Linked DNA regions of Sus scrofa. The protein of the gene in region 3 purifies or fractionates together with the protein of the main gene of each other region. This does not show direct contact. Links are inferred from orthologs where the notes say so. Each region holds a gene or a part of one and is shown on either strand. Other genes may lie near its edges.

Region 1 (3,566 bases), on a different chromosome or scaffold from region 3:
TCTGCCGGCCTTCCTCCTTCTGGCTCTGGCTTTTCGCAGGCTCCGCACTGGCCTCTTTGGGTTCATGGTCTTGCTCCTTGTGGGACGGCAGAGTGTTCTTAATTGTGTTAATGAGAAATCTCTTATTGGTACCAGCAAGAGGACACTTCATCCTGGGGGGAAACAGGACAGGCACACATCAAACACTGACTCCAGAGCTGAGCCCACGGAGCAGCAAAGAAAGCGGCTTCCACAGAAGCAAGTTTCCCGACTTGTGAGCTTCCCTTGCGTGCCACCTAGTGTAAACTCCGAGTACAGGGCAAGGAGAGCCTGCGGAGACCCGCGGGCCCTTCTCCCAAGACTTCAGAGGCGACGAGCCCCGACCCTACCAGAGGGTGTGTACAGGTACTGACCACAGCGCCGACTGCCTGAGTCGTTTAACACTGTCTCCTTACACCCCAAGTCCCTGATTTGACCGTCATCCGCATTTCGAGTTAAATTTTGTGGCGGCTTGTTTTTAAATATCAAAGAGCAAAAATAAGTCCCTCCCGGAGGAAACGAGCTACCGTAGAAACAGAAGCTGTCTAAAGACTCCATGAGGCTGCAGTAACCTCATTCACCCTCTGAAAGGCTCACACTTTCTGCTCTGAGACTGTGTGTTGAGTTTGCCTTGTCAGCGAGCCTTTTCCCACGTCCACCCCGAGGGAGGTTCTGTGCTGCCTCCGTTTCAGTGGTGTCATGATTCAAGTTCACCCGGAAGGAAGGGTGCAACCAGGCACAGCATAGTTTACATGCTTTGCTCTGCTTGCACACTCAGGATGTTTGATTTTTCAGGTGTAGTAAATCTTTCATTTTAGGAAAGACAACCCCAGACAAATAAAACCTGAGTATTTCTCTTGGCCTTGAGCCATCTGCCTGTACGCAGGGCTATTTTAGGAGGATGCTGATCCTGCAGATGGTGTTACTCAGGGAGGCTGGTGTTGAACAAAAGTGAATGTAGGCGTCCGTGATCTCCATGCCTCTATCAAACTGCGATTCAAGGCGAATCCCACGTAACACGGGCACGCACTGCAGTGACTTTCTGGCCTGCCCTCGTGGGGGAGAGACCAAACTGCTCACCAGCCTAGTGCCCCGTGTTCCGAGGTCAGGCCCCCTCAGGCAACCAGAATGGCACTGAATCTGGAAGGAAAAGGAGGAGGAGAAAGACAGGAAAATGTCTCCTGCTGCAAATAAGCTGTCTCGCACCCAGCAGGTATCAGGCGTGGCAGGCGTGGGGCTCGGAGGTCGAAGCCCGATGTCTGGTGGTGGCGGCCCTGGGGCTTTGGTTTGCTTTCCTTTTCCGGCTGGAGTTTAAAAGCCACAATGAATGAGGTAGGAGCAAAGAAGAAAGGCAACAGCAAAAGAGCAGAGAAAATGCTTCTGCAAGGACAGGACACACACTGTTGGACTCCCTGCAGCCCCGAGGGCTTCACTTGTCTTCCAGAAAAGTACACTGGCTTGATGCTGCCTCAGGCATGGCCAGGCATACAAGGCATAGCCAGGTGTGCCCTGCAGAGGTACAGCCCTAGGACCCTCTGTTCAGTTAGGAGGGCCAGCCAGCCTCTTCCCTCGGTGACCAGGTTAGGTTATCACTGAATTCAGGCATCGATGGGGTGACGATCCTTGAGCCACCGCATTGCAAACTTAGCAAAAAATCAAGAGAGCAGGACGCACTGGTGTGTTATAGCAAACACAACCTCAGTAGCCTGCGGGAGGAGGCTGCCCTTCATTGTGGAACAAAAGAGCAGGAAAAGCCGAGCGGCCCTCTCTGCCAGCTCTGGCTCAGGCTTCCTGCAGGACCACCATCTCCCCTGGGCGTGGCGGGCCAGCCGGGGAAAGCCAGCCGGCTTCAGAAGAACCGTGGGGCGTTTTCAGTGCAGTGGCTCATCAGGGCTGGAAAAACTGCTCAGCTCCTCTCTGGAATAAATGAGTAAGGAAGGGGATTATTGCCAGGCGGTGCAATAACCCAGGATCTTAAAACCTTTGGAAACTGCTGGTGAATTGGACGTGTTTCACCACCTTCCACATGAGGCCATCTTTAATACCACGTGTGCGCCTGAGATGGAGTGCGGTCTTCTTCAGCTGGAAAACTGCAGGCTTCGTGCTGAGAGGGGGCCATGTGTCAGAGGAGGTGTCCTGGCTTCCTGCTGCATGTGTAACCCATCGACTCAACATGGGCACCAAAAGAGCTATTCTTTTTTTTTTTTTTTTTTGGTCTTTTTAGGGCCACACCTGTGGCATATGGAGGTTCCCAGGCTAGGGGTCTAGTCGGAGCTGTAGCTGCTGGCCTACAGCACAGCCACAGCAACGCCAGATCCTTAACCCGCTGAGCAAGGCCAGGGATCAAACCTGTGTCCTCATGGATGCTCGTCAGATTCATTTCCACTGAGCCATGATGGGAACTCCCCCATCTCCAGCATCAAGCCAGTGTACTTTCCTGGAAGACAAGCAAAGCCCTGGGGGCTGCAGGGAGCCCAACAGTGTGTGTCCTGTCCTTGCAGAAGCGTTTTCTCTTTGCTGTTGCCTTTCTTCTTTGCTCCTCATCTCATTCACTGTGGTTTTAAACTCCAGCCGGAAAAGGAAAGCAAACCAAACCCCCAGGGCCGCCACCACCTGACGTCGGGCTGCATCCACCACACCCCACGTCCTTTTCCCTCTAGTCAGATTTGTTTCTGCTGAGCCATGATGGGAGCTCCAAAAGAGCTATTCTGGAATGAGATGGTTTTCTAGAAGAAAGTCCACAAGAAAACTGGCTTTGACATCTCTTTAACATCAGAGATGCCAGTGTTGGGAGAAAAAAAACAAACAAAACATCAGAGGTGCAACTTTTAATGCTGGCTGTGCCTGGGGTTCTATTCAAGGTGAAACGTGGAGGATGGCTTGGCGAGAACTCGGTTTTCTTGGAGTGGGGTATGAAAGCGACTCTTTCCAAGCATGTTGGTGCAGGACGCATCTTAGAGATGAAGAAAAGTGCCCGCCCACACGCATTAATAAATGGGGGGGCAGTTGCGGGCGACTGAAGGGGCATATGTAGTAAATGGCTCCACGCTCGGGCATTAAGAGACGGAGCGTGAGGCTGAGGAGCTCACTGGCAGGGCCGGCTCAGGCCTTTAATGTGGCCATCAACTCACCGCCAGCCAGTGGATTGCTGCAAACCCCGTGCAACACAGTTTATCCACGTGCTCTGGAGTCATGCGATCCACCAGACCGAGCCCTGGGCCTGGTAAATCATCTTCCGTTGCCTCTCATCTTTTAATAGTGGATAATAATGGAGACGGTTTGGGAGGCTTGGATGCAGCTCAGAGGGTGAGGGCATGCGCTCAGGACAATGCCCGATGCCTGACAAGCACCTGGTAAAGTGTAGCCCTTTAGCCTCAGTAAAACGTGTCCTACTCCCACAGCCGAATTAGCTTGGGGCCAAGGGAAGGTTACATCAGTTTTCTCTTTGTAAACAGAAGTAACAGAAGCGCCTCCCTGTTGCGAGGATTTAAGGAGATGGTGTCTGAAGCGCCTTGCACAGTGCCTGGCACGTAGTCGAGCTCCGGTGA
Region 2 (3,566 bases), on a different chromosome or scaffold from region 3:
GTATTAGCAAACTGAGTTCAACAATACACAGAAAGGATCATACAGCATGATCAAATGGGATTTATTCTAAGGATGTGAAAATATTCAGTATGCACAAATAAATCAGTGTAATACATTAACAAAAGGAAGGCTAAAAATCATGTGACACTGTCAGTATGATCATGAAAAAGCATTTGACAAAATTGAACATCCATTCATAATAAAAAAAAAAAGCCTCATTGAAGTTGTTATAGAGGGAACGTGTTTTAACATAATAAAAGCCAGGGAGTTCCTTTCGTGGCTCAGTGGTAAACGAACCCTACTAAGATCCCTGAGGACATGGGTTCAATCCCTTACCTCACTCAATGGGGTTAAAGATCCAGCATTGCTGTGAGCTGTGGTGTAGGTCCCAGACAAGTCTCAGATCCCGAGTTGCTGTGGCTGTGGCGTAGGCTGGCAGCTGTAGCTCCGATTTGACCCCTAGCCTGGGAACTTCGATATGCCATGGGTGTGGCCCTAAAAAGCAAAAAACAAAAACAAAACAAAACAAAACAAAAAAAACTTTTAGAACTGAGAGTTCCCTTGTGCCTCAGTGGGTTAAAGTTCTTGTGTTGTCATTGCTGTGGCACAGGTTCAGTCTCTGGCCTAGGAACCTCCCTGTGCTGCAGGTGCATTCAAAAAAACCCTAAACTATTAGAACTAATAAATGAATTCAGTAAAGTCACAGGATCAAGATTAATATCTGGACATCTATTGCTTTTCTATACACTGATAATGAACTATCAAAAAGAGGAAACAAGAAAATCTCACTTAAAAATCACATAAAAAGAATAAAATACTTAGGAATAAACTTAACCAAGGAGGTGAAAGACCTAACTCTGAAAACTGTAAAACACTGATGAAGGAAATGGAAGATACTACAAAGAAATGGAAAGATGTCCCATGTTCATGGACTAGATATAATTAAAATATCCCTGTTACTCAAAGCAGTCTGAAGATTTAATGCAGTTCACATCAAAAATATCCAGGACAGTTTTCATGGAGCCTTCAGATTGGCCTTTGTGGTTCAATTTTTCCACTTCTGGGGCCGGAGTGGGAGGAAAGTATTGCTGTTAAGCCATTTATGTAAACCTGATTCCAGGTCATGGGTCTGCTTGGCCTTAACCCATGGAAACGGGGCTTCTCTTAGCCATACTTCCCTGAACTGCTGACAGCCCAGTGGTCAGCCATCTGGGTTCTTCCAAGTTCAGAACCAGAGAAATGCAGAAGCATGACAGACATGCTTTATTTTACTTTTGACTTGTATAAAAACAAAACTACTGCAAGCCTTTTATTCACTGGTCGACTTTTCCACCTAATTTTCATGTAACATTTCAGAAATCACACACATCAGTAAATGTTACTATTAACTTTGTAAATTTTACTTCATCACTTTCATAGACTATTTTTGCATGTTTAGCTTTTATTTGAACATTTTAGGTAAATTATTGTATTTATATTTGATACACTTAACTGAATTTGCTTGAATATGGATTTTTATTTGTTATTCTGACTTTTGTTTAAAATTCTTTAAAGCATTGATCATATAACCAAGCCAGGATCAAGCATGTAGAAAATTATTAGGTATTAATGTTTTGGGAAATGATGAGATAAAGAGCTAAGTTCTTAAAAATATATCACATGTGATACGTAGGAAGAAGCTTAAGTCTCAAGTGAGAAACTGACAAATAACTATGGGAGGTAGGATATTTTAATCCATATAAACTATTGAAGAATATATTAATGTGTTTATCATTGGATTTGATCTATCTCCCAAATAACTCACTGCTATTTTCTTTTAAAAACAAACAAACAAACAACTTTAGGGTCAGTTGGATCTCTTAAGAAGCAATACAGGCCTTCTGTATAGAATAAAGGACTCTCAGAATGCTGGGTAAGCACCTAATTTTTTATTTTAAGAAAATTTTAATATCATGAAAGGAGTATAAATCTGGGGGGTGGGGGAGCCAGTGCAGCATAAAGTAAAGCATAATGTAAATCTGTCCTACATAATCATCTCACCTCCCATCATGAGTTCCATTTCCCAGAGATAACTGCTCTTATTAATATAGTGGTATATATCTTTCTTATAGGTATATGTAAATACATATAGATGATTATATATTTATATTCCATATATTTATATATAATCTCTTATAGGTATATGTAAATACATATAGACGATTATATATTTATATTCCATATATTTATATATAATCTCTTTTCTTTTTTTTTTTTTTTTAAACAAAAATTGGATCATGCTATCCATACTGTTTTGCAACTTGTTTTTTTCACTTACTATATCATGGACATCTTTTCATTCTGGTACATACAGCCCTGTCTCATTCTTTTTAAGGTAAGCCCTTCTTTTGGTAAATCAGTAAATGTGATGACCTTGTCTGCTGATTCATTTAGTTGTGTAGATTATTAGATTATCCTGTACCTCTTTGCCTTTTTAATTCTACTTTATTCCCCTGCAGTAAAATGAAAGGATCAGATAATCAAGAGAAACTAGTATATCAAATCATAGAGGATGCGGGAAATAAAGGTAAGCATGTGCAGGAACAAGCAGAAAAAAACCATCGTCTTTAGGACCAGATATAGGAACTGAGATCCTGGCTTCCCAGGGTATGGATCAGTCAGGAGAGTATGCAGCCATTTGTGTTAAAAGGGGAAAAAAATGTAAAAAATGTGTGTGTGTGTGTGTAATGTACATAGGCTTGAAGGACACTCAGGAGTGATGCTTTTGTTGCCTGAAGGGAGACAGGGACCAGATGGCTGTGGGTAGGGATGGAAAGAAATGTCCAAATTCTGAATCATGTGAATGTATTATTCATTCAAAATAAATAAATTAAAACTTAAAACTTAAGGGCTTTTTTGTTTGTTTGTTTTAGTTGTACAATGATCATTACAACCCAATTTTATAGCATTTCTGTCCCAAACCCTCAGTGCAAACTTAAGGGTTTTTTTTTTTAATATTCACTTTCTTTTTTTTTTTTTTTTTTTTTTTGTCTTTTTAGGGCCGCAGCATCAGCATATGGAGGTTCCCAGACTAGGGGTCTAATTGGAGCTGTTGTTGCTGGCCTACGCCACAGCCACAGCAACTCAGGATCCAAGACTCATCTGTGATCTACGCCACAGCTCACGGCAATGTGGGATCCTTAACCCCTGAGTGAGGCCAGGGATCAAACCCGCAACCTCATGGTTCCTAGTTGGATTTGTTTCCGATGCGCCACAACGGGAACTCCAGTATTCACTTTCTAAATTTTAGAAACCTTTATTTCTTCCTTTCCTCTGTAAATTGTGGACAATAACATCTCTGGTTTTTGCACAAACCAGAGGATGCCTAGTGCAGTATGGCAGTGTCTGATGTAGTTTCTTCAACAGCTATTTAGTTCCTTTTCTATTGCCCTTGAAGACTATAGTAGCCCTTGCTAATATTATAATTTAAGATCTACTTGAGTCACCGATATTAGCTTCAACAATTATGATGTAACCTGAAATCATGTGATTTTTATATATGTTAGAAAGTTAAATTAACATTTTGA
Region 3 (3,566 bases):
AGCTGACCTCCAATTTTCCCATTCCTTCTTTTGAAAAACTCTTTCTACCTGTTTCCAAGGCGCGGCCGATACGTACGTGATGGGCACATCTTTGTACTGCGGCTGCTGTGGAACATTACTTCCTTCCAAGGGGATCTGAGTCACTGTGGGCATGGACTTATTGACAAGCACTTGCTTGTTCTCCACTTTCTCACCTGAGAGAGAGAGAAGGGTGTTCGACACACCACTGTCAGCTGCGTGGAATGCAAAGATTACCAAGGCATCAAACCATGTGATTAGACTTGGTGCACGAAACCCAGACATGGAAGGAAAAAAAAAATGTCCACGCAGTGGGAACTAGACATCAGCAGGGCTTCTTTGTAATTCTGCAAGCTTTTTGAGAAAGTCATAGATTAAGATCACAGTGTGTAAAAAATTAAGAAACTGATTTAGAGGGGCCACATTAATGAGAGAACATTCATGTCAGCAGTGGCAATTTAAAATATCTCTTAGAGAGTTCCCTTCGTGGCGCAGCGGAAATGAATCTGACTGGAACCATGAGGTTGCTGGTTCGTTCCCTGGCCTCACTCTGTGGGCTAAGGATCTGGTGTTGCTGTGAGCTGTGGTGTAGGTAAACAGACGTGGCTCGGATCCCGTGTTGCTGTGGCTGTGGCACAGGCCGGTGGCTATAGCTCCAATTGGACCCCTAGCCTGGGAACCTCCATATGCCGCAACTGCGGCCCTAAAAAGCAAAAATAAAATAAAATATCTTTTAGGATATTAGATCAGGTTTGGTCTACTTAATGGTTATTTCAACCAGTAATAAGTCACCACCAATCTGACTTGGGCAATGGGGAAATACAAATATTTCTTTGATTTTCCAGCTATGCTGACCTTTGCTTTTCTTGGTAAGCTCAAAGACCAACTACTGCAGCACTGCCACAGCAAGCAAGTTGAGAGTGGAAGAAATTCTCCAAGAAATAAAGGCAGCAAGAGGAGGGGGAAGCCAGGTGCCACATGGCTCGGGCCCCACAGTGGATGCAGCATCACCCCGAAGCATCCACCACCCAGGCATCATCCGTGGCAGGACCCTGTGCATCTCCCTCCAAGCCAGCCCTTCTCTCCACTGCACCATGGCTCCTGTTGCCTGGTCTGACTCGAGAGCTCTCAGTTGGTCCCTGTCTATTCTGGTTTCCTTCTACTCTTTTCTCCACACTGCAGTCAGAATGATCACTGCAAAATGCATATCTGATTGTATCATGGATTTTAGGAACATAGTGAAAATAGTACTGCGTCTGGACCCTACTTCTCCCTCCCTTCCCCACCTCCCTCTCTTCCGTTAGCCACAGAGGCCTCCCTTAGGATCCTTCAGCGATGGGTCAAGCTGCAGGACCCAGGCAGAGCCCTGTCTCCTGCTTAGACGCAGCCCCTCCCTCATCATTAGTTAATCCCACTCAGCCTGCAGCTCTTAGTCACCTCCTGTGGACGGCAACCCCGATCTTCCCGCTTAGGTCAAATCCTCCTGCCATAAAATGGCCTCAGAGCTCCTGGTTGTAACTTGACTTATGTTTGACGTGGTCCTTTGATCAATGTCCGCCTCCCACACTAGCCTACATCGACTCACAAGGGCAGGAGTTGTGGGTTGCACCAAAAAGATTCGCCATGGAGTTCCTGTTGTGACTCAGTGGGTTAAGAACCCAACTAGTGTCCGTGAGGATGCCAGTTCTATTCCTGGCCTTGCTCAGTGGGTTAAGGATCCCGTTTTGCCACAAGCTGTGGTATAGGTCTCAGATGCAGCTTGGATCCCACATTGCTGTGGCTTTGGCATAAGCTGGCAGCTGCAGCTCTGACTCAACCTCTAGCCCAGGAACTTCCATAGGCCATGGATGTGGACATAAAAATTTAAAAAATAATAATAAAAAATTTGTAATTAAGAAAACCCAAGATTCATCACAAATTTGTAACTACAACGGAGTTACACTTTTTAGGGGAAAAAGACTGTAAAGTTAGTCTATAAGCTAAATGAACAAATGATGAAATATCAGTGTAGATGCAGGGACATGATCTTATTCTAAATATTTTCTTAAAGTGATTCAAAATTATAACTAGAAAAGTATAACTAGAATAAATTACTGCTATATAAAAACATAGGCCTAGAAAAACAGACCGGAAGGAAATTCATCAAAAATGACCACACTGCTTGAATTAGGACAGTGGTTTTATAAGCTGCTATTTTTTTCTGCCCTATATACCAAATATTCAAAATACTGTTGAATAATCTTCATAATTTTAAAAAACCCTGTATATTAAAAAAATGTAAAGACCCTTACCTGGAGAACAAATACCATCTGCATCTAAAATTTCATGTCGCCAGATGGGTTTTCTTGTAGCAGCATCCAACACTGGCCCCATCACTTTATCAAAAGTCTGATTGGTATATCGCTTCAATGTACATTTAGCATTTTTATATACAAGGCAACGCCCAAAGCCTAAGATGAAACCAAAATGGGCATCAGAATCACCAGGTGAGAATATGAAACTATGAGAGAGCACAGATCTGTGTTATTCGATAACTCACCCCACTCTACCTTCCTTCCCCCCAAAATAAACACACCAAAAGTGCTCCCTATTTAGACAATCTGAGACTGGCCAAACCAAATAACAATTTGATAACCTGAAGAACTGGCTCAAGATTTCTCCCCTATCCGTTAACCTATTACCTATTGTCCTTATTTATAAACACTGCCATCTCCACAGCCGTTTTTCCACGTGGAATAGACCTCGCCTTTGAGAGCACAGAGAGCAAGGACATGGGAAAATCAGAAAGGGCCTTAGAGATCCCCTGGCATAGCCCCTCTGCCTTACAGGTGCTAAGAGTACGGCACAGAGAAACTAAGTGGCCAAGGTCACCCAGCAAAGTCATGGCTGAGTTGAGACCGACCAAGTCCAATGATCAGGCAGCATCCTTCCCACAAGTCATCTGGGTGCATAACTTCTGCTAACCTTCTCTCGAAAGTTTTCCTTTTTCTCGTTTTGGCATTCAGAGAAAGTCCCACACAATAAACAAACAAACGAACAAAAAATAATTTTCTTCCAGAGAGGAAGGAGAATGAAAAGAAGCAATCAAATGACTTGAATGGGAGACAGTTCCTCTCTGCCCTGAAGATGAGTTTACGTTGACTATATTTTTTAATACATTTATCTCGTGGATGAGGAAAAAGTCCTGGGACCAACTAACAGTCTAAACAACCACTGAATCCCACAAAATACTCATCAGTTGCTCAAAAAGCTGCCAAACCTTCCACACATTTCCCAAGATGCTACGGCTGCATTTCTTTCTTTCTTTCTTCCCCTTTTGCCAAGCTGCTATTTTAAACTGGATTCTCTCTCTAATCTCCCCAGGATATACTGAGCCATGTCAGAGTTCACTGAAATAGGAAAATGTTCTCAGGATTAAACACCAGCTATTACTGAAGAAATAGATGCATGGCTATAAAATCCTTTGCTTATGATTCTCCACCAAAAGCAGAACTCTTTCAAGAAATCTAAGAATGTGAGTTCAGAAAATCAATCAGGGAAGAGTGGAT
Region 4 (4,285 bases), about 6.8 Mb from region 3:
CTGGCCCAGGAACTTCCACATGCCACGGTGGGCATGGCCAAAGATAAAATAAACTAAACTATGGCGAATGAATGAAACTATCTGCAAAACAGAAAGAGGCTCACAGACACAGAGAACAGACTTGAGGTCGCCAAGGGGAAGGGGGCTGGGAAAGAGACGGAGCAGGAGGTTGGGGTTAGCAAATGTAAGCTATTATACATAGAATGGATAAACAACAGGGAGCTATATTCAATATCCTATGATAAACCATAGGAAAAGTATATTTTAAAAAGAATGTGTGTTTATAACTGAATCACTTTGCTGTGCAGCAGAAATTAACACAATATGGAAAATCAACTACACTGCAATGGGAGTTCCTGTTGTGGCACAGCGGAAACAAATCTAACTGGTAACCATGAGGTTGCCGGTTCGATCCCTGACCTCACTCAGTGGTTAAGGATCTGGCGTTGCCGTGAGCTGTGGTGTAGGCTGCAGACACGGCTCAGATTCTGCATTGTTGTGGTTGTGGCATAGGCCGGCAACTGTAGCTCCAATTAGATGCCTAGAATGGGTACTTCTATATGCCAGGGTTGTGGCCGTAAAAAGCAAACAAACAAACAAAAACTATACTGCAGTAAGAAATGACAAAACAGGAGTTCCCGTCGTGGTGCAGTGGTTAACGAATCCGACTAGGAACCATGAGGTTGCGGGTTCGGTCCCTGCCCTTGCTCAGTGGGTTAAGGGTCTGGCGTTGCCGTGAGCTGTGGTGTAGGTCGAAGACGTGGCTCGGATCCCGCGTTGCTGTGGCTCTGGTGTAGGCCGGTGGCTACAGCTCCGATTCAACCCCTAGCCTGGGAACCTCCATATGCCGCGGGCGCGGCCCAAGAAATAGCAAAAAGACAAAAAAAAAAAAAAAAAAGAAAGAAAAGAAATGACAAAACAAGACACTGCAGTGTAGAGTTCACTTGTAGGGCAGTGGGTTAAGGATCTGGCATTGTCACTGCAGTGGCTGGGATAGCTGCTGTGGCTTGGGTTCCATCTCTGACCCAGGGAACTTTCACATGCCACAGGCATGGCCAAAACCAAACAGACAAGGAACACCCCCCCCCCGCAGTGTATTTCCACGAAGGCTGTGTACTGTACAGATTTGTATGGGGCCCACTTCTACCACTTAGCAGCCCATGGCCTTAGACAAGGTATGGAATTCTTTTTTTTTTTTTTTTGTCTTTTTGCCATTTCTTGGGCCGCTCTCGCAGCATATGGAGGTTCCCAGGCTAGGGGTCTAATTGGAGCTGTAGCCGCCATCCTACACCACAGCCACAGCAACGCTGGATCCGAGCCGCATCTGCAACCTACACCACAGCTCACGGCAACGCCAGATCCTAAACCCACTGAGCAAGGCCAAGGATCGAACCCGCAATCTCATGGTTCCTAGTCGGATTCGTTAACCACTGCGCCACAACGGGAACTCCAAGGTATGAAATTCTTTTAGTCCAAGCCCATGTTAGCTATCACATGAAGATGAGTGAGACTGGAATGTGGTGAGACAGAACAAACCAGGGCTGGAGGAGTGGACAATGACAAGACCACGCAGGGCCTTGTGAGCTATGATAAAGATTTTGGACCTTATTGCTAATTCAAAAGTAAATCAGTAAGGGTTTTTTGGTTTTTGGTTGTTTTTTTTTTGTCCCAATTTATTATCCCTTTTCAATTGAGATGTAATCTGAATTACAAGTAAATGCAAAGATCTTAAGTCTTGAGGTCGACGAGTTTTGACAACTGTCTACACCTGTGTAACCACCGGCAAAAAGAAGATACAGAACATTTCTATCATCCTATAAAGGTCTCGCCTGCTCCTTTCCAGCCCAGTGTCCCCGATTCCAGAGTATTGAAGGGTCTAGGCATACTGTGTTTGCATTTGGAAGGGCCGGCTGCAGCGTCGAGGTAGGCCTGAGCCAGGAGAGTACTGCACAGGTCAAGCAGAGATGGCCCGGTGGCACAGAGGTCGCCTAGCAACCTGAAAGCGTTGCCTGGGATTGACGATTCCACGCAGGCGGAAGGGGTGGCCCCGTCCCGAGCAGACCGGTACGTAGCCCCGCCTCGCGACGGGGCGGACCGAAGCTTCTTATTGGTCGGTCTCCCGGAAGCTACCGGATTTGGACTATCGTCCGTAGTAGTGCTGCTGGCGTGGGTCCGCGGTGCGTGGCGGAGGCACGTGGTGCGTAGTGCGTGGTGTGTGTGGCTTGACTGGGCTGCGCGCCCCTCCCGCGCGACCAGGAGGTCCTCCCCGTGGAGCCTCAGCTTCCTCTGCTTGCAGTAGAGGAGCACGCCCCTTACGGAGATACCCTAGGCCCCGGCTTCCAGCTCCGTTGCCGACCTGGGGGGCTCCGGGACTGGGACCGACAGAGCGGGCTCCGGCATCCCCGCCGCCCCGTCAGCGACTGGGACCGACAGAGCGGGCCCCGGCATCCCCGCCGCCCCAGGTGTCTGTGCGTGACTGACACTCGCGTTCCCAGAGTCCCCCGCGCAGGCGGGATGTTTGTCCTGGTGGAGATGGTTGACACCGTGCGGATACCCCCGTGGCAGTTTGAGAGGAAGCTCAACGACTCTATTGCCGAGGAGCTGAACAAGAAATTGGCCAACAAGGTACTGACTGGGTCCATGGGGTCGCTGGCCGGCCTTGGCCGGAGAGGGCCCAGCGCTGCTTACTTGCCCGCTTTCGGCCTGTCGGTGCCAAGCCTCGGCCTTGGGCAAGTAGCCTAACGTCTCAGAGCTCGGTTTCTTCACCTGTGCATGGGATAGGGGTAATCCTTACCCCACAAGAATGTTGGAGGGAATCAAAAGAAAAACTGGGCTTGAAAAAAAGGCCGTCGTGGAGTTGCCGTCATGGCTTAGCGGAAACGAACCTGACTAGTATCCTTGAGGACACAAGTTCGATCCCTGGCCGCAGTGGGTTAAGGATCCAGCGTTGCTGTGAGCTGTGGTGTAGGTCGGAGACGCGGCTTGAATCTGACGTTGCTGTGGCTGTGGTGTAGGCTCCGATTTGACCCCTAGCCTGGGAACTTCCATATGCCGCGGGTGCAAAATAACCAAAAAGGGGGGGGGGGAAGGGGGAAGGCCGCTGCAAGTGGGACCCTTCCGAATTATTTTGCTTTTTTTTTTTTTGCTTTTTTAGGGCCTCATTCGCGGCATATGGAGGTTCCCAGCCTAGGCGTTGAATCAGCTACAGCTGCCGGATCTACGCCACAACCACAGCAACCAGATCCCAGCCGCCGTCTGCAACCTACACCACAACTGCAACGGTGTATTCTTAACCTGCTGAGCAAGGCCAGGGATCACACCTGCAACCTCATGGTTCCTAGTTGGATTCATTTCCGCTGCGCCACGATGGGAACTCCTTACTTTGCAGTTTGGGGCAGGTCATTTACCCCATTTGGGCTTCAGTTTCCATATGTAAAGTGGAAATAATAATTGCTGTCCAACCATCCATTGTTTCTGGGAAGGTGGATGGTAGTTTAAAGTTGGCTGTCACGTTTATTTCTGCAAAAGAACGCTTGTGCACCTTTTATGTGCCAGGCCTGCATGCCTTAGTGCCAAGTCGTCAGAGGCCTTCCCACTGCCTTTTCTTTTCTTTTTTTGCATTTTAGGGCCACACCCATGGCATATGGAAGTTCCCAGGCTAGGGGTTGAATCAGAGCTGCAGCTGCCAGCCTACACAGCCACAGCAACAAGGGATCCGAGCCATGTCTGGGACCTACACCACAGCTCACAGCAACACCGGATCCTTAACCCTCTGAGTGAGGCCAGGGATCAAACCCAAGTCCTCATGGTTACTAGTCGGGTTCGTCAGCACTGAGCCGCAGCAGTAACTCCCTCTCATTTTTTTTTTTGCTGGCCCGGCCCTCGGCGTGCTGAAGTTGGCAGGCCAGGGATTGAACCTGTGCCACAGTAGTGACAATTCCAGGTCCTTAGCCCCTGAGGTAGTAGGGAATTCCTGTTTAGTTGATTTCTGTTTTTCTCTTTCCCTCTCCATGAGAGCATGAACTCTTGTCTTCTTCCCCTCTGTCCCCCATATTTACGTAAGTGTTTATTGAACGAATAAAAGACAAGCTTTTGCTCTGTAGTCTCGTGGGAAAAGCAGATGTGAGCAAGCGATTCCCACAGTTGAGTGTCTTTAGACAAATTGAGCTAAATGCTATGAAAACAGGTGTTCGCGAACCCATGGAATGACAGAATTTCACCTGCAGTGAGGGAGACAAGAGGCTTTATTAGGAAGGTGATGCTTGAGCTGGGATCTGATGGTGAG

What was found.
Region 1: the proteins of POLR3B (region 3) and uncharacterized protein LOC106505238 purify together in Homo sapiens (affinity purification with mass spectrometry; 6 studies listed by BioGRID and IntAct, with this or other methods). This does not show direct contact. The link is inferred for Sus scrofa from reciprocal best matches to the Homo sapiens genes POLR3B and POLR1D.
Region 2: the proteins of POLR3B (region 3) and POLR3F fractionate together in Homo sapiens (co-fractionation; 4 studies listed by BioGRID and IntAct, with this or other methods). This does not show direct contact. The link is inferred for Sus scrofa from reciprocal best matches to the Homo sapiens genes POLR3B and POLR3F.
Region 4: the proteins of POLR3B (region 3) and POLR3H purify together in Homo sapiens (affinity purification with mass spectrometry; 8 studies listed by BioGRID and IntAct, with this or other methods). This does not show direct contact. The link is inferred for Sus scrofa from reciprocal best matches to the Homo sapiens genes POLR3B and POLR3H.

What each region holds. Positions count from the first base shown.
Region 1 is NC_010453.5:5,085,836-5,089,401, reverse strand, and holds part of uncharacterized protein LOC106505238, read right to left. Parts: intron 153-3,566; coding exon 1-152.
Region 2 is NC_010459.5:26,725,823-26,729,388, forward strand, and holds part of POLR3F (DNA-directed RNA polymerase III subunit RPC6), read left to right. Parts: intron 1-1,844; coding exon 1,845-1,912; intron 1,913-2,353; coding exon 2,354-2,374; intron 2,375-2,498; coding exon 2,499-2,566; intron 2,567-3,566. UniProt on the Homo sapiens protein: DNA-dependent RNA polymerase catalyzes the transcription of DNA into RNA using the four ribonucleoside triphosphates as substrates.
Region 3 is NC_010447.5:13,843,228-13,846,793, forward strand, and holds part of POLR3B (DNA-directed RNA polymerase III subunit RPC2), read right to left. Parts: intron 2,469-3,566; coding exon 2,310-2,468; intron 195-2,309; coding exon 77-194; intron 1-76. UniProt on the Homo sapiens protein: Catalytic core component of RNA polymerase III (Pol III), a DNA-dependent RNA polymerase which synthesizes small non-coding RNAs using the four ribonucleoside triphosphates as substrates.
Region 4 is NC_010447.5:6,998,266-7,002,550, forward strand, and holds the start of POLR3H (DNA-directed RNA polymerase III subunit RPC8), read left to right. Parts: upstream 1-1,424; 5' UTR 1,425-2,514; coding exon 2,515-2,625; intron 2,626-3,830; exon of another isoform or gene 3,831-4,277; coding exon of another isoform or gene 4,278-4,280; intron 4,281-4,285.